4 linked regions of the Drosophila melanogaster genome follow. The protein of the gene in region 3 interacts with the protein of the main gene of each other region in a pairwise test. Each region holds a gene or a part of one and is shown on either strand. Other genes may lie near its edges. The genes, in order: Ets65A, Rcd-1r, CG15710 and CG14711.

What was found.
Region 1: the proteins of CG15710 (region 3) and Ets65A interact in a two-hybrid assay, tested with the Drosophila melanogaster proteins (one large-scale study listed by BioGRID).
Region 2: the proteins of CG15710 (region 3) and Rcd-1r interact in a two-hybrid assay, tested with the Drosophila melanogaster proteins (one large-scale study listed by BioGRID).
Region 4: the proteins of CG15710 (region 3) and CG14711 interact in a two-hybrid assay, tested with the Drosophila melanogaster proteins (one large-scale study listed by BioGRID).

Annotation. Positions count from the first base shown.
Region 1 is NT_037436.4:6,095,265-6,100,765, reverse strand, and holds the start of Ets65A (Ets at 65A), read right to left. Parts: upstream 3,150-5,501; 5' UTR 2,295-3,149; intron 298-2,294; 5' UTR 237-297; coding exon 4-236; intron 1-3. Other genes in the region: loj (logjam), read right to left, coding at 4,504-4,560, 4,615-4,782, 4,854-5,117, 5,279-5,356, 5,423-5,501.
Region 2 is NT_033779.5:9,012,044-9,016,258, reverse strand, and holds Rcd-1r (Rcd-1 related), read left to right. Parts: upstream 1-2,190; 5' UTR 2,191-2,336; coding exon 2,337-3,209; 3' UTR 3,210-3,374; downstream 3,375-4,215. Other genes in the region: CG13102 (uncharacterized protein), read right to left, coding at 3,416-3,633, 3,698-3,874, 3,938-3,995.
Region 3 is NT_033778.4:16,346,818-16,350,949, forward strand, and holds CG15710 (uncharacterized protein), read right to left. Parts: upstream 1,711-4,132; 5' UTR 1,650-1,710; coding exon 852-1,649; 3' UTR 797-851; downstream 1-796. Other genes in the region: wcd (wicked), read right to left, coding at 1-578.
Region 4 is NT_033777.3:11,621,336-11,625,931, reverse strand, and holds CG14711 (uncharacterized protein), read right to left. Parts: upstream 2,594-4,596; 5' UTR 2,522-2,593; coding exon 2,387-2,521; exon of another isoform or gene 2,332-2,386; coding exon 2,206-2,331; exon of another isoform or gene 2,147-2,205; coding exon 1,638-2,146; exon of another isoform or gene 1,630-1,637; intron 1,578-1,629; exon of another isoform or gene 1,576-1,577; coding exon 1,441-1,575; exon of another isoform or gene 1,383-1,440; coding exon 1,272-1,382; exon of another isoform or gene 1,215-1,271; coding exon 1,097-1,214; 3' UTR 984-1,096; downstream 1-983. Other genes in the region: CG6813 (uncharacterized protein), read left to right, coding at 1-234, 307-421; Zaf1 (ZAD and architectural function 1), read left to right, coding at 2,895-3,017, 3,076-3,725, 3,783-3,917, 3,988-4,207; CG14710 (uncharacterized protein), read right to left, coding at 4,294-4,417, 4,479-4,596.

The sequences.
Region 1 (5,501 bases), on a different chromosome or scaffold from region 3:
CACCTAAAGGCACTGCTGGCCCCGAAAAAACTGCTGCGATCCTGCAGCGCCGCCTTGGCCTTCTCCACACTCTGCTTCAGCTGCTCGAAGGTGGACTGATGGAAGCGGTACGAGGTCCATTCTGGCGAGCACTGTCCGAGTGCAAGGCACTCCTCCGTTTTCACCTGGGCGAGAGTCGGTGGCGATACCCTCTTCAGGTCCAGCGCCGTCTGATACGAACAGGAGTTCTCGTACATGGCGCACGCCTGGGGAGCCTCGATGGGTGGCTGTTGGCTAAACAAGGGATTCCACTTGACTCTGCCGGAGAAAGTAATAGATAGAACAAATTGGTTTTATAGTACTTATAAAACTGCGAAAATTACAAACGAAAATGAATATAAATGAATACTTAGTACTTATAAGTTACTAAAACTTAAGATATTTATTCATACACTCTTGTACTCTATTGGTAGTCAAACCAGAAGATTTAATTGCTTTAAAGTCCAAGTAAACTCCATCACTCACCTCATGGCAAATTGCAGAGCGAGATATTAATAAATCATAGCGCGTGGTCCACAATTAAATACTGCAATTTTAGAATGCCTCTCGGGCCAAACAATCGCTCTAATTGCCATGGCCCCAACACGTTAAGCTAGCTACCCGAAAACCCCCCCGATGTTCTGGCATAATTAATAGTGGCTACTTTGGAGCTGTGGAGCTAGTGTTCCCTTAGATATAAGCACGACGTGCATAATTATCTGGCTCGTTATTTATTGTGTGTACAGTCCCGCTTTTTGCACTGGGCCAACGTTGCGTATGAGCGTTGAACTGTGCGTGGGTGGCGGCCATTTGAGCGTGGCTCTCTAATGTCCAGCTGGTCGAAGCTGGGGAAGGCGAACCATTGTTTACTGGCCCTTTTCGGCCAGTCTGCAGTTAGCACACACAGGGGGCATGCAAATTTTTGCACTCTGCCCTCGTCGGAAGTTGCTGAATTTTGATTTATGCCAACGAAATTTATGCCATACAAAGTGCGACTTGTCCTGTCTCTGGCTTAAAGTACACCAAACATACCCGAAATGAAAACTGTAACTGAAACCCCAGCAGCTTTAAGTTTGCCGGGAGGAGTAAATAGATTTCGTTATCGAAACGGTCGCATCTACAGAACATCATCAACTTTGCGCCTTGTCAGACATTATAAACGGCCTGCACACGCCTCATTTATTATTTATTATTTGTACTCAGGCCGAGTGGCTGCGTTTGCATGTAGGCAAATTTCACCAGCGAACATTAGCAGGCAGACATTTTATTTTTTTTGTATTCTGGTATCCTTGTATTCCCCAAGTTATCACAATCGCTGAGCGAACGCGCGCACACCGGAAATACGAGCGGGATGCCAGGATGTCGGTCTGCAGATGGGCTGAATGCTCGTCCCGTTCTGCAGCGCGTGCTGAGTCCTTTGAATACCACTTGGTATCGCTGTGATTGCCGAGTTTATGCTCTTCGACAGCTGTTAATGGTGTAATCCCCTTGTTGGACGAGAGATCCTTTAATTAAGAGGCCACACGTTTGGCTGCTCTTTAATGGTTTGTAAGATTTTTATGCGATTTTAGGAAATTAGGATTTTTGAATGTTTGCACAGCCGACTGGTTGATGAAACTGTGCTGCTGTTTAATTGTCAAGCTTTTACCCAATGATGCTGCTGATGTGCTTTTTTTCTGGTTTATGAATACTTCCGTTTTAAGTCTACTAATTCGATTAGCAGAAACATATGCTTCACAATTATCTGATGATGGTGGGGTGAGCTTTTTAGGGGTTGGATAACTGTCGTTAGTTAGAAATTAAAAGCAACCATCTAAGTTCACAGGTGCTGTATCTAAGCGCTCAAAATTCTATGTAAGTGGATTTAATTTATCAGATCAGAATGTTTGAATAGAAAGTATCATAGTTTACAAATATCTTAGAAATTCGAAATAAATTCTATCAAAATATTAAAGTTTATTATTGTAATTATTCTTTACTGACATTGGTTATAAATTTTTAGATTTAAAATAGACTTCAACATGTCTGGTATTCTGAATTCGTACATTTCAAATATTTTTATGCATTTAATATTTTCCCCATTTTATGCTGGAGATTTTCCCCATTTAAGCCTAGGAGTATGTTTTCAATTTTTGAATAAAATTCTACCGTTACGATATTATCTTTAATTTACTTCAACTTTGGTTCAACAAAGCACTTAAAAATACATTAGTTATTTAGGACCCCGTCGGAGTTCTGAATCATGTTGATCATTCTATAATTCGAACATAACTCACCTCAGGATTGTGCCTGTATGTGCAATAAAGTTTATCCAAAAATAAGTCTCCTCTTTGACTGTCTCTTAAACTTCCGTCGGGACAACTTAAGTTACAACTTAGTAATCTTAAACACTTCACAATCGTTGGGAATCGGTGCAGTTAATCACTCACTCAAGTGCGTACAAATTGCCAACCGGAAATGAAATTATTGTCAAAATGGCGACGGATATGCGACAAGTGAACGCGACAGCGACGCGCCACGCAAATGACGGTTTTGTTTGCAGCCAAAGTTTCGTAGTCCTGGAGCGGATATGCAAGGAAATTTGTCACTGCAAGGACGATGACGGCGACGACCACCAAGCCAACTGGACACCGACGGCAGCGGGCTCCTTGGGCATTTCTCGATGTCTTTTCGCACAGGTGCAGGTGCACAAAAGGTGGGTGGTGGTGGGTGGCGAGGGGTGAGAGGTTCGCAACGAAAGCGGAACGAAAATGAAATCAAAAAGCGAAATTTCTATAATTTCCGCACAAAAATTTCCGCGACACACTGGCAGGACACATGTGTGTGTCCTTGTCTGTTTCTTTTTCGTGCGCTGCCACGCCCACAGCCAGCAACAAGCTGGGCGTATGTGTCCAAGTTTTCCGCACTGCTTGCCGTGTGTAAGTGTACAAGTGTGTGCCGTGTGTGTGCTTTGTGTTTTTTGTGGTTTTTGTGCCTTCGTTTGCCGCTTGTGCTGACCAAGAAAGGTTCGCTAGTTTGGTCCTTGTCCCGGGAATATTGACGACGTGTGACCGACGAATCTAAACCGCAAAGTACCGCTATTATGTCGTCCGCGACGTGTTGCACTTGGTAGCGCGCACTCCAAGTTAATGTGGCGGCCAGATCATCCCGTCCAGTCACCAGTCCACGCTCAAAGATGGCGACACACTCCTCCCACAAGCGGTGGCTCTGTGTGGCAGGGGAACTGGGCGCTATCACCGAGGATGTGTCACCCCATCGTCCTGCGTTTCTGCGGCGGCTAATGCGCAGGCGCGCTCTCCGCACCACAACCCCATCCACCGCCCACTTTGCCGCTGCTCTGTTATCTGCCGCTGTCATCGGCTGCTGGTGGGCGGAGCCAACTCTGTGCCATCGGGGATGTGGATGTGGATGTGGCTATGGCTGTGGATGCTCCTGCCTTTCGCCGGGTCCTTTGCTCCGCGTTCTTGGGGCATCATTAGTGCTGCCGAAGAGAGAAGACCCCATTTTGGGCGGAAGTGCGTATGAGCAATATTTTAACAATGGCGTTTAAAACAGTTAAAGAGCGTGTGCTGGTGTGCGAGGCCATTAGGACCTTAGTTTTGCGGTGGCTTTAAGGCCCGCAGATAAGCCTCGCATAATAACATTTTAATTTCGAGCAGCAGTGGCCACAAAAGACCCGCCAAGATACCCAGATGCTCCTGCTGCCTGCCAAAAAGGATATAATTAACATGCCAGCTGCTGCAGAGCACACACACATGTGCTAAATGACGTCTAGATAAGCGGTGAGCCTGGTGACATGATTTAAGGTCCTGCGATGGATGGGGCAGGATAATTTGCGATAAGCGGCATTCGGGGTGATTAATTTGCCAGCCCAAGTTGTGGAATGTCTTCGAAATGTCTTCAGCTCTCAATTTAAACTAATGAGCTCATGTACAGCATGTATTTAATATTTAAGATTGGTTTTAGGCAACGAGAAGATGTCTTTGCAACAATGTCGTAATTTGAAAATAACTTACTCCCATATAAAAAGAAAAACAGGTTTCTTAAAACAACAACCTGAATTATATATTTTTAAGTTTAAAATCCTTTCCAGGATAATGAAATTTAACGGTTAAGTGAGCTTACCAAAGCAGCTTAACTTTAAAGCTTGTAGAGCTTTTAGTAAATTAACAAACCCAAATGGCTTCGAATAAATCCTTAAGGTTCTTTCCCAAATAAAACAAAGCAAATACAAAAATCTTCAATCTTTTAATTAAACAAAACACACAAATGTACACTTATCACAATAAGTTTTGCTGTCTATAACTCGTATGACATAAGTAGTCCCAATTATAAAAAAGTCTGCTCAGTTGCGCTTGATCAATTAGCCAGTGATAAAATAAGTTACAAAAACTCATTCAGCAGGTAGAATAGAATGAATGTCTTGGAAATGCGGATGGAATTTTAGAAACATGTTGCGAAGTCTTTGAAAAGTATCTTTGCGCCTTAGATGCGACTTTTGGAGCTCGATTTTACTTCAAATAGTTTGCGCACAAAGAATACCTGCAAATATTAGGTTATTAATTTAGGAAAAGCAAAAAACATGTCTATACTCGCCTGTACAGAGCACGTGATCAATATGACCACAATTTGGCTAATCGAGAAGGTTTGAATATAGGCATTGTTGTCCAGGAGCAACGCATAATCACGCGATTCGCGATGACGACTGTGGGCTTGATAGCCCATCATATCGTTGATGTTGCGCTCCACAGTGCCAACGGTGGCCTAAAGAAATAGATCAATGTGAATATTTGTAAATGGATGTTTGGGTGTGTCTGAAAACCAGTTTGGCTTACAGTGAAGTTTTGCATGTTCAGCTGCAGCTGCTCGATCTCCTTGGCGTACTTGTCCCATGCATCGTACTTCACCACCGTGATATAGATGTTGACCAGCTTGCCAGCGAATCGGGAGAACTGGTTGTCAATGCAGACGGAGTAGTAGCCACCGGGCGATACCTGATCCGTGTAGTCCGCAGTAGCCTGCCACTGGTAGGGCTTCACCACTTCACCAGCAGGATTGCGGACGGCGAAACCAGCCATTCCATCGCCTCCGCGCACCACCTAAAAAAAATTTATATGAATAATTTCATTGTATTAGATAGATTATATTACTGTATTAATGGATTCGATTTGATTTATTTTAGAATATCACAGACTGCTCAAGGGGAAACCCATCCATTGGATCGGAAACATGCTATTGATCCCAAATTCTATCAACTTACACTAAAGGACACGTAGAAGGTGGCTCCTGCCTTAACGTACTGATGGTAGCAGTCCTCCTTACCAGCATCTATGTGAACCTGAAAGAGAAACCACGTTCCCGGTGAAATTTGATGCTCTAGAGGAGTCTTAAAATCAGCACACACCTTATAGTCCATGGCCACCGCTGGCAGATTCTCGTACCATGGTTGTTGGGCCTCCTGAGCGCTGGTTACGTCGATCAAA
Region 2 (4,215 bases), on a different chromosome or scaffold from region 3:
ATGTAAAATTGATAAAAGTAACCAAAGAAGGAGCTGAAAAAAACCAAATTAACCGCGAATTACAAATCAATTTAAATGCAGCAAACTTTTTTTCCAAAAGCCCAACAATGAAACTTCTACTCGTTATTCTATTTCCGCGCAGAAGGACGAAAACTTTTAATTCAATTCCTGTCTCAGGCATGTCAATGAGTTTGTCTTTGCGGTGTGAGACAAGTTTCGGGCCTCTTTTGGCCTCTCGAATGCAACATTTTCGGTCGTCGCGAAGAATGGAAATTTGTTTGGTAAATTAAAAGTACTTAAAGTGCAAGTCAAGATCCCAGCTTCCCCCCAACTAATACCACGTCCTTTGCTCCCCCGTCTCATCTGTGGCATTATGTATTCTTTTTTAAAACATGCAAAATCACGTCTATGCATCTTAATAACTTTTCGTGCTCGTGCAAACAATGCGAACGTGAAAGTTGAATAGGTTTGGCTTAGTTATCAGAGGGTTCCCGTCTTCGTTTTCGCAGGAGGAAATTTTCTGGGGTCTCGGGCAGGTTGCTCCATGGTCTCTCAATGCATAAATCAAATGTACATATTGTAGTTGAAGCTAAACTTAATTTAGTTTCCGGGAGTTCCCAACAAGTTTCGGATATCGAGGGTGGATTTGGAGCACAGATAAGGGGAAAGTAAGAATATTCCTGGTGGTGCGGATGTTTGATTTTTGAATCTGGGTAGGTCTCAAATGTAAGCAGTAGTTTGTATTCAAGTATTTAAGACTGTTACAGTTATTGGTTAAGGCAAGACAGATAAGAATTGTATCATAAGTGTTGACTTTCCATTGTTAACAACTATAATTTCTTAGTGACACTCGTTTTGATTCGCATATCTCGAGGGAACAATAACTTCTTAAGCTTGCCTATAGTAAAACTATAGTATTGTATAGCTAGTCCTGAGCCAGCTGCTATAGCCGTGACCATAGTCATAACTTTGTTTAGCAAACACATCCATTCCCATTCCGAGGCACACATGAAACAATTGAATCGAAAAGAAACCAATCAGTCAACAGGGGTATTCCCCACGTAACCCACCGAGGGCTGCAAAAAACCAGTCAAAAAAAAAAAAAGTAACAATACAAAAATTAATTGATGACGTGCACACACGCATACATACATGAACACTCACACAGCCACACAGATGACGCACCAACACTAATTGGCAGCAGGAACAACGTGGACCACATATGCATGTATGCGAGGATATAGCCTGGAAGTCGATTTGATAACCGTGCACGATATGATGGGCGGCATGGATCCCTTCCGCTTTGGTTATGAAACATCCGAAAAAGGGGACGCTGTAACGGGATTTTGGAGGCGGCTCGGTGAAAGGGTGAAAGGGGCGTGAACACGGCCAAATCGATGCAGACATAGACGAGCAACAATCAATCAATTAAATGCCTGAATGCAGCTCCAAACAAACCGAGCCACGATAACCATAACATGACCCACCGGATAATGTTCGGCATGCAAAAGTGAGATTGACTTTTAGGCAGACGGCAACACTATTAAAGATTTATTCTTGTTTCTCGGCTCGTTCGAATCTCCGATTTTCTCTGGGATAGTTGGCCAATTTATGTGACGGACTGAAATTTTTAAAGCTCTCTGCAACAAACAAAATTGAAATGTTGCACGATGTGGCAAAGAATACATTTTCTGTTAACCATTTCTGTATTGGCAAGTAATTCCAGAAATGGACAACTATTCCAAGCATCCATCTGTTTAATGGGTTAAATGCGAGATAAAATATTTGAAAATTTTAAAGGCAAATATTTGTGTGTGCTAGAATGATTTTTGATTTATAGTATTTGTCAATACGAATTCATTAATTCTAAAACTGGTGTCCAAAAGTACTTAATGGTCATTAAGCCATAAATCGGACCTCCATCAGATGCGCAATTAGTCTGGCCATTTCAGAGAGCTAAGCTATGCTATGACATACTTAATAGAATCATAAATTTTAATCATCTACCGATTAATACTTGTAAAATATAGAGAAAACGTGAATTTCCAGACGAATTCCAAGCTGCCAATCAAATCAATGGTGATAAGAAACAAAATTCTGGGAGACATTCGAACAAGAAATTATTTATTAATTTATGGCATTCGTGCGTTCCTCGGCTCTGGCCACATTGTTCGGCCACGTGCTTTCGGTCCTTTCTCGCTTGAAGCTTATATCGATAACCACAATAGACGCCAACTCGAAACCACGTTTCTCAATCGTCCGTCGAAATTCCGGAGCCAGATCTTTCCAAGCTACTAGATCTTTGCAAGCTAACGCGAAAAAAAACCAGCTTTGCGATGAGTGCGGAACCAAGTCCGGTAATGAGTCCCCAGCAGCAGGCCGAGCGGGAGAAGGTGTACCAGTTGATCATCGAGCTGGCCTATCCTGCCACGCGGGAGACCGCTCTGCTGGAGCTGAGCAAGAACACCTATGCGGACCTGGCCCCCATGCTGTGGAAAAGCGTCGGTACCACCTGCACCCTGCTGCAGGAGATCGTCAACATATACCCCATAATAACGACGCCCGTTTTGAAGGCCAACCAGTCGAACCGCGTGTGCTACGCCCTGACTTTGCTACAGTGCGTCGCCTCGCATCCGGAGACTCGCCCGGCCTTCCTGCGGGACCAGATACCGATGTACTTGTACCCCTTCTTGTCGACCACGTTCAAGAGCAGGCCCTTCGAGCAGCTGCGCCTGACCACGCTGGGCGTGATTAATGCTCTGGCCGAGACCGGTGATACGGAGGTCCTCATCTTCCTGATATGGAGCGAGGTCGTGCCTCACTGTCTGACCAATATGGTCAGGGGATCGAAGCTGACCAAGATCGCGGCCACTTCAATCCTTGAGAAGATACTGCTCGATGAGATGGGTCTGACGTACATTTGCGAGAACCACGATCGCTTCTCGCAGGTGGCCATCACCCTGGGCAAAATGGTCATCCATATGTTGAAGTTTCCATGCCTCCGGGTGCTGAAGCATGTGGTGCGCTGCTATCTACTACTTACGGAAAATGCGCGCGCTCGCAGTGCACTTAGAGTGTGTCTGCCGGATCTGCTGCGTGACGGCACCTTCACGTCGCTCGTGCAACATGACACGTGCACCAAGCAGTGGCTGCAGATGCTGCTCAAGAACCTGCAGACAAACGCCGTCAACCCAATGGGCTCCTCCTAGAGAAGCGCCCAACAACTTTCGTCACTCCACCGTCCATTCAAGCGCCATCGATTAGTGATACCCACTCCTAGTTAACTGCTCGACCGAATAAACATGGCCTACATAATCTACAAATGAAATTATGATATTACTAAAATTGACGGTACAATAAAAAATATCAAATATAAAATATCATAGCTCCTAGCTCATATTTATTAATAGTCACACTAGGCATACATCTTGACCAGCAAGAGACCCAGAACGCTAGACGCGATGGCAATAGTGCTGCTGCTCATCTTTCCGGCCGGATTCTTGTTGCACTTGTCGCCCGAACAGGTGAGACACCAGGTCTTATTGTAGTGAGCATAGGCCGGCTTAAGTGCTAAGCTGCAGGCTCCAACATTTGGATGCACACAGCCATGGAGCTGATGGATCACATCGTTATCTGGCAAGTGGAAAGTAGTTAATAAATCTTTATAGTCCGCTTCTGGGGTCCCCACGCTACTCACTCCAGTTGTACTTCAGAGCCAGGCAATCGAATCGCGTGCTGGTTAGGTTGCCAACATTCTGATGATAGACACCCAGGTAGTAACTAGTCTCATTCGCAGCCGCATTCGTGCAGGTGACTTTCTTGGGACTCTTGCAGTCCTTTGGCGTTACGCAGGTGTAACACTTCAGGGAATCAGCTATAATCCATGTTAAAAACAATCAGTTGATCTCGAATTTCACATTTTACGCAATTGACTCACCAATTTGCACACACACAAAGGCCACAAGTATGCTGACTATTAAAGCTTTCATATACATTTTGGTTTAAATATTTTTACTTCACACTTAACTGTAGTACAACTTTGCAAGATGTCGATTCGCTTTAAACTAAACTCTTTTTAAATGCCAAGAACTCTTTTATACGGCGATTCTCTTCAGATTTTGCACAATACTCAATTCTTTGAGATAAGCTTGTATGTATGTCGTTTGTTAAGTTAATCTTATCATTTTACGTTTACAGGCTCATAAACTTATCAAA
Region 3 (4,132 bases):
TTAAAATTCAGAGTCTTCTGGGGCAGATCACTGTTCCGGGCTTTACGATCGATAAAGCCAACCGTCCGCAGCAGTTCTTCGTCGGAGGATACGTCCTCGTCGTCCTCATTTTTGACCTTCTTTTCCGCCCACTTGGGTTGGTTAAGCGTGCGCTGGAATCGCGCCGTAAGATACTCCTTGTACGATTTATCCTTGCGCAGGTGGTTCAGTGGACCCGTGTGCTTTGTGGCCTTCTTGACATCGCCCACCTGCAGGTCCTCGTCATCGGAATCCGACCAGGCGGCTTTCCGCTTGTCGCCTGGCTTTGCCTGGCCGGGATTTTCCTCCTGCTCGTCTTCGTCATCGTTCGGCAACTTTTGTCCCACGGACTTGGCTAGATTGGTGAGCAGTCGCTGCCTGTCGCCGAAGAGCACCTTTTCCATGGGCACCTCCACATAGTTGAGCTCCTTGGCCTGCGAGGCCTTTGGAATATAACGTTCCCTTTTGATCTTTGCCGGTTTCTCTTGCTCCTGCTGGCCGTAGAGGGCCTTCAGACTCTGCAGCTCCTCCAAACCGTCGCTGGACTCGTCTGAACTCATCGTGTTCGCTGGAAATGCACGCAAATTCGTTTATTTACGAACTTTTCTTTGGACCGCAAAAAAATATACACGTGCAGCTGGGCGGGAAATCGACTAACGCTTTAAATCAAAAATACCACGCCACGGTGGATTTATCGATAAGTGTGACCACATCGATAGCAGATCGAAATAGATATCGGTGGGATGGGCGCCATAATTTGAAAATTATAAAAAATATTACAATTAAAAAATATATTTATTTAATTTAAAATTAAAATGTGCGAATTTGTATAATCAATTATTAAAACTTTGCACAACTTCTGTAAATGTTACCTCGCTGACCTCGGTGATTTCAATCTCACGCTTTCTTTTGCATTTATCCGGCATCTGGCAAGTTTTCAGATGACGGTGAAGGAAACCCTCATATTTGTACTTTTTCCCACAACGATCACAGATTAATTCGGGCCTTCTCTTCCCTAAGATCTTTTTCTCCTCCTCCTGGGCCTTCAGCCTTACGATACATGCGTCGCACGCGTATCGACGGGTCACTTGGCCAGGCTTAAAGCAGGCCTTGAACTCCGTGCGACAAAAGACGCAATTGAAGGTCTTGGTGATGGTGTACGCCCCTTCGTAGGATTCATCCGTGGACTCGCACGGTATCAGATGGCTCTCCAAATGGGTGCGATACTCCAGATCCGTCCCGAACTTGACATGGCAGGATGCACAGGTGCGATTCATTGATGGGCTTCCATGCAGGAGCCTGTGGCCGATCAGGGCATCCACCGAGGAGAAGATTTTCTTGCAAATGTTGCACTGATGCTGGGACACGTCCGGCACATCCTTCATCATGCGTGCCAAGCGTCTTTGGCAGGCCATCAGATGGACCTTGTAGGCACCGGCCGTGCGAATCACATTAGAGCAAAGCGGACAGTGGAAGCGTTGCGTGTTGTCCTCCAGGAAAACTTTCTCCTCTTTTATCGGCTGCAAACAGGGCGCCACGTACACCTTGGTAACAATACCATTATCCTCCTGAATCGACAGTAGAGTAGCTGGTTCCAGCTCCTCGGAAATCCAGTTGCCAGCACTTGTCATAATCCTTTGTGGGCTCTTGTGTTTCGCCAGTAAGAAGCGTACGAAGAAAGTGAGAAAGTCGCCGGTCATTGTCATTGAAAGATAGAAAGTAATACTCGATACTCGATACTCGGAAACTGTCAGGGCTGGAAAAGAAAGAAAGCGTATACGCGATAGGTATGCCTCAAAAATGTAAACTTTTTAAATTTGTCCAGGCAATGAAATTCGAATCCAACGCTTTCCTCCAAAAAAAAATTAAACGTTTTATTCGGATTACCATAAATGAGGTGGTAATATATTTAGCCATCATTTAGTTTAACCAATTAAGCAAACAATCTTCATGCATTTTTACTGTCTAAAGCAGAAGTATACATACTATATATATTCGGTTTAATTTCGTTTTTAAATGAAGTAGGTCAGCTTCACAGTTTCGAACGCAGCAAATAAATTATGTTTTATGAACCATATTAAAGGCTTCTCCATGATTTCGTCTGTGTTAGGAATTATTTTTAAAATATCATCTTAGAGACTTAAATATAAATTTAATTTAAATTAATTTCTAAGGAAGATAGCTATAGTTCAATGGCAAGCCTGGGCAGAATAAGATCTATACTCGTAAAACTGATTGTTTAGTTTGGTCTTTGAACTGTAAAATGCAGGAACATGTCTTTCGAGTGCCTCTAATCCCCGCCCAACTTCTGGCATTGTGGTAAGCTCCGGATCCCTGCTTTATGACACGCGTAATGCGAGTCAAAATATGCAATTAAACAAAAACTTCTTGACTGGAAAAATATTTGCATAACTTGGGCAAACAAATGTCGGAGCACGTCGTCCTCGTCACCAGTCGACAATGTCGAGTTGTTGTTGAACTTGTCATTACACACGCACAACCAGGAGAGCACCAGTCTCATCCACCCACTAACCACCCAACCACCCACTAATTTACCCATCCACTGGGGGTGGTGCTCTCGCCAAAGTGTGGATTAATAGCTGGGGTGGTGCTGCTGCTGCCAGAAATCAGCGCTCGTAAAATTTACGTAAAATTCATTAAGCGCAACAAAAGACGCTGACTGCGTGGAGCAAAAGGGGGCAGGGGCAGGTTGGAAGGGAAAGGGGGGGTGGCGCCTGCAATCGCTTAGAGACAAAGCCCTGCATAGTTGATAAGACGCGTCCTTCGCGGGGGGAGGACGTTGCTTGTAGGAGCAGTGGGTGTTTAGTTGGGTGCCTGGGTGGGTGACGGCTTGGCATTTGTGGTGCCCTCGAGTGTCTCCTGCCAAGTCAGGCGTCAAGCCGCACGGAGAGCAACCAATTTTTGTCATTTCAAAGGGTCCAGCATTATTGTTGCGCCATCCAGGCGGCGATACACTAGCAAATAATTTTCTATAAATATTAAACATACTTATCATTAATTTTAAGCAGCGCGAAGTTGGGTTGTTGGTATTTCCTCAAAAGATTGTGAATTATTTAAAAAGCATACACTATTCTTGAATGTATTATATGCTTTTTAAACCATTTAGGCTATTCTTTTTAGTTATTTTGAAGTAAGCTATCTGAAATATGAATATTTTTCATTTCAGAATCTGTTGATTTCAGATTAACAGAATATGGGATTCTTTTATATCTTTCTACTAATCCTTTACGCAGAAGCTTTTTTAATCGTTTGCCTTAAGTAATAATAGCTAATCAAGTTCCAAGGATTGAAGTTTGTCTAAGAATCGCTGCATTTTCTGGGAGTGTTCCCCGCCCATTTTCCGCCCACTTCCAATATCCTTGAGTTCCTGTGCAGCGAGGCGCTGCGATTCAGCGCTCCTTAAGTGGCCTGACATTGTGGCAGATCCTTTGCAGTCGCACTCCCAACTCCCCGCCATGCCAGTATCCCCCATTCCGCGCCCTGCATCTCGCATCCTGCGCTGCAACTCCTGCCGACTGACAGATTAGCGTGTTGACATTAAGTTTGTCCTTTGGCAGTGTAGGCTAACATATGGCCTTTAGTTGGCTTTAAGTATCGGGCGCATTTAGCTCCAGCTCCAGCTGCACATGCAAATGCTGATAGAGCCACGCATTACAGCATGTTGCGGTCGCTCCTTGTGGGCGTGGCGCCTGGCCACCTGCCCCTGTGCTCCATCGCTCCACCTATGTGCTATCTTTCGAATCACGGATGATGGCTCCTGTGGCATGTAATGAGTTTTCCATTGCCCCGCACACGGTGCATCAGGTTACCCGTACCTACATCACCGCTGATTTGTGCGGTTGATAATTGGGCGCGCGGTAATGTTGGTAATTAACGTCTTTCTGTCCACCGATATCGGCATATTGACGGCCATTGTCAAGGGCGCGTTTTATTTGCAGGACAAAATCCTGTCCAACGCAACGTTCGTCGTTCAAACGGAATTAAGCCAAAGGGAAAATCTGGCGACAAAAAGCGTAAAACTTTGTTGGCGATACATTAGCGAACAATGCATATTGACATTGTATTGACAGTGCGCGACATGGCAATAGCACTT
Region 4 (4,596 bases), on a different chromosome or scaffold from region 3:
GAGCTTTGCAACTCGAAAGGAACTGACTAGCCATACGCGTATCCACACGGGCGAGCAGCCATACGTGTGCGTCTACTGTCCACGTCGGTTCTCCTCTTCAGGCGCTCGCCAGGAGCACCATCGCCGCCATCGGAACGAACGCCGCTACGAGTGCGACACGTGCAAAAAGAGTTTTGTAAGCTCCGGATGTCTCAGGAAGCACAAGATGATCCATGTGGATGCGCGGAATCACTAGTGGGCATTTCGATTTCTGCCAACTCTGCACATTATTTGTATTACACGTTTCAACACACTTTGATTTTACAGCTGCTACGTATGTCAGAAGCACTTCAAACGAATCTCCCATTTGATGACCCACCTGTCCAGCAATATTCATAAACGCAAAGAAGAGAAACTCACGGAGCTAGCCATTGAACAATGAAGCTGCCTATCTAGCCATTACACTAATTAGCTATCGGTAAGAATTCTAAAATTCCGCGTCCTTTTCTTTAACAAGGTAGACGTACATTTAAGTACAGGTATTCGCATAAATCCATTTTATGCGAATATCTAGCATATTTGGTTTTACTTTTTGTTTCCCTAAGGAATAGAAGAAGAGCCGCATCCCTCCCGACTTCCAAACGTTTTTAGATTTTGATGTAAAACGTTACAAGTTATAAACCTAAAAAAACAAAACATATTTACTTGTCCAAAAAAAGAAGATTTAATTAATCCTGTGCCATTCGATTATTATTCCATGTTGTAGCTTCCACAAACGGTAACAAAGTCTTCGACAGAGCACAAAGAAAAGAAACAATAAAAAACGCACACTCATTTAATGGCCAAAATGATGTTAAAACTACCAAATAAACGCACAAAATCAAAGATTGTAATCGTGTTCCAATTTTTTTCTCGAATATATGGACGTAATAAAAAACATTACAAAAAATATTTGTGTTTTTGAACAAGTTCTTTAACCAAATAGTAATAAATCAAATCCGATTATTTTACACATCCGGTCTGACCATTTGTACTCTTTTTTATTTTACAATTTTTATATATAATTAAATGTACATTAATGAATTATCTAACAGAAATTGTATTGCATTGTTTTCGACTAATAGCGCCCCGTCCGTTCGTTTTTGTGGTGTATTACAGTCTGTTGGTGGGTCATGGTGCCCAAATGCTGATCCAACTGGTGCTTGCGGGAAAAGGTCTTATTGCAGACTCGACAGCTGAAAAATTAAAGGGAATTTAGGGTTATACATGATTAAAGCAGTCAATGGACCTACAGAAAAGGCTTCTCGCCCGTGTGGGTGAGCATATGGTTTTTTAGCACGTTAGAGTAGGAGAATGCCTTGCCGCATGTGGAGCAAGTGAAAGGTCGCTCGTTTGTGTGTGTTCTGCAAAAGGAACAAGTATAGTTTATATGAAGATTACTATGAGGAATTGCATCTTCACCTTTCATGACGAATATTGGAGCTGCGATCCGCAAACGAGCGGTTGCAATATTTACACAAGAATGGTTTCTCGCCCGTGTGAACGCGGATATGGCGATTTAGCTCGGATGGACCCGCGAAGGATTTGCTGCATATTCTGTAAGCGGAATAAGATTTACATAATATAAAATGGTTCAGATGATAATTTCAGATACTCACTCGCATTTAAATGGTTTCTCGGCCATATGACGACGCATATGAATGTTGAGAGCGGCTCGCTTGGAGTAGATATTGCCGCAGATTTCGCACATAATGTTCGTGGAGGATACTTCGGGAGATGATTTGAAGCTAGCTTGAACAGGCGGACGCTCCTCGCTAAAACTGCGTGGGTGTCCGGAGCTAGCACCGCGAGGTCGGCCACGTCCACGTTTAGTCATCCGCGTTTTACGCACCTTAGCTTTGCGGCAGCGCTCGATGGGCTGGTAGTCGCTATCGGTGCTATTCGGCACCAGCAAGTCATCCTCGTCCAGGTCGTCCACTACAGTGCTAGTCTCGTAGGCCTGCGACGTTTCCCCGACACCATCCTCCAGGGGCTCCTCCATGATGTTCTCCATTCCGATGTCATCCTCGACACCGTCGATGAAGTCGTTGGCCGATTCGTAGATGTACTCAATGTTGTCAGCCACTACGTGCGGCACCTCGTCCGTTGGCTCCGACTTCATCTCGGCCTGACATGGTACCGGGTCAAGTGGGATGTTTATATGTGGCCCATCAACTCTATACGTACCTTGACTACATTGGTGGCAAATGTGCGCTCGCTCTCCTGGCAAAGCTCCCGGAACTTGTGGGCACTGGTCAGTCGCTCCACGCAGCTGTAGCACAACATACTGGGGATGTTCTGCAGCGGCACCAGCTGAAAGCACAGAGTGGGTTAAGTCGCAGGATTTTACATTTGCATCCACATGTACCTTTATGCTGCCCACTTCTTCAATCTTGCGCACCAGCTCCCGGCACTGGGCGTCGTTGTCATCGAACAGGGGCGCCATCGCCTCCGAGTTGATGTCCTCTGTCAAGCAGATTCGGCACAACATGTACTCGGGCATTATCTTGCACGTCCTGGACGTACGTATGCTTGCAATTCTGAAATAAACAAGCGTCTTGGAACTTTTCCCAGGGTTGTCATGTACGCAAAACGATAAATGGCTATCGAACTTGCTATCGGCATATCGATTGAATAATTGATAATAATTAAATCTTAATTTTTTTTTTTAAACTAACAGGTGGGCCCTATTAAATATTTAAGCTTGAGTCACGCAATAAAAATACAGTTTTAGAACTAAATGCAAAAAAATTTGGAATGATAGTTGAAAACTGTTACTAATTCCGCGTACCTGACAACCCTTTTACTTTTAATTCACTGCTCTGGCATTTGAATCGGCATTTGACGCGAAAGAGGGACTTCCTGCGGAAATAACGATGGAAATCAGCATTAAATGGAGCATGTGCCGCACTTGCCGCAAAAAAGGAACGCAATCCACGCTGCAGTCGCTCTTCGAGTCCAATGCCCACAAGCTGTTGATCTCGTATGCCGGCACATCTGTGAGTACTCGATTTCTGTTTGGCTTCCAGTTTACCAGTTACAAATCCTCTCTCCTAGGTGAAACCGGATGATGGACTGCCGGATCAAATTTGCACAGTCTGCTTGATGCAACTGGAGGAGGTGGACAGATTTCTTAGCGCGTGCAAACAATCCGACGCGCACCTGAGAAGCCTCGTTCGTCAAACTCTGTCCTCCGCATCGGCATTTGAGACGCTGGAGGATAAGGACCAGCTTGAACAGAAAAAACGCGCCAGGAAGCAGAACATTTCGGGGAGACTCATCGAAGAGAATCCTATTAACTTTAAGACTCAAGAGAATGCATTGGAAACGACCAAAGATGATGAAATCTTACCCATAAATAAATTTTCAAGCGATTTCGTGTTCGATCTCAACGTGAATGCGGAAAACGAGAAAGACATACACCAGGAGGACTATACCATCAGTGATATGGATTTGGACAGGGAGATCTCCGATCAAAATTACTCCGAAACGTATTCGCAAGAAAGCAGCGCTGCTACGGACAGTATTCAAGAGACAAGCGAGGATTACCATAATCTAGAGCCAAGTGCCGACTACGTGATAGATCTAGGAGTGGCCTGCGAGCCGGACAAGTACAGATGCAAGATCTGCAGCAATACATACCGCTGCTTATCTCAGCTAAATGCACACTCGCAGGTGCACCGCAAGGAAAAGGACCACCAGTGCGAGTAAGTATCCGTGATATATCTTAACATAATATTTCATATATAAAATGTATGATTCAGGGTTTGCCAAAAGACATTCAGAGCCGCCTGCAACCTGAAAACACACATGCGGACGCACACGGGCGAGAAACCTTACCAATGTTGCTACTGTTCGCGCCGTTTTGCCGACAACAGCACTCATCGCAAGCACGAACGGTAGAATGGACAAAAACTATATATATTGTGTACAGCATTTAAGTTCCAATGTTGAATTTCTTCATTTCAGTTTGCACACGAATGAAAGACCCTATGCTTGCAACATATGTGGAAAAACATTCTCTCTGTCCTCCTCTCGTAACGCTCACTACTACCTGCATTCGTCTGAAAAGTCTCACAAGTGTCTTATGTGTAAAAAAGAATTTCGGCTTAAGCACCAACTTACAGCGCACGAGAAGTCTCTTGCGCACCGTCTGATAGCTAAGGAGTACAGCGACGTGGTAGAATAGTTAATAAAAATAGCTGGTCTATTCTGGAAAAGTGGCTTTATACTACTTATAATAGATAACCCTAGTTCCTCAATTAATTTACTATATTAGCTCTCTAACATTTCCGGAGAGCTGGGAATGGTTTGCTCCATTTTGTTGCGGTGGGTTAGCGTTTGCAGGTGAGCTTTCAGCTGGTGCAGCAGAGTGAATGACTTGCAACAGATACCACAGCTGAAAAGTTCAAATTATTAATAAAAAGTGCAAATCACTAGAAAGGATTACTCTCCCTTACTTGTAATTCTTTTGGGCGGAGTGCGAAAGGATGTGATTTTTGAGGATGGCTGTGTGCGTAAAAGTTTTCCCGCACTCCTGGCAGGCATAAGGACGCGTGTTGGTGTGGACCCGTTCAT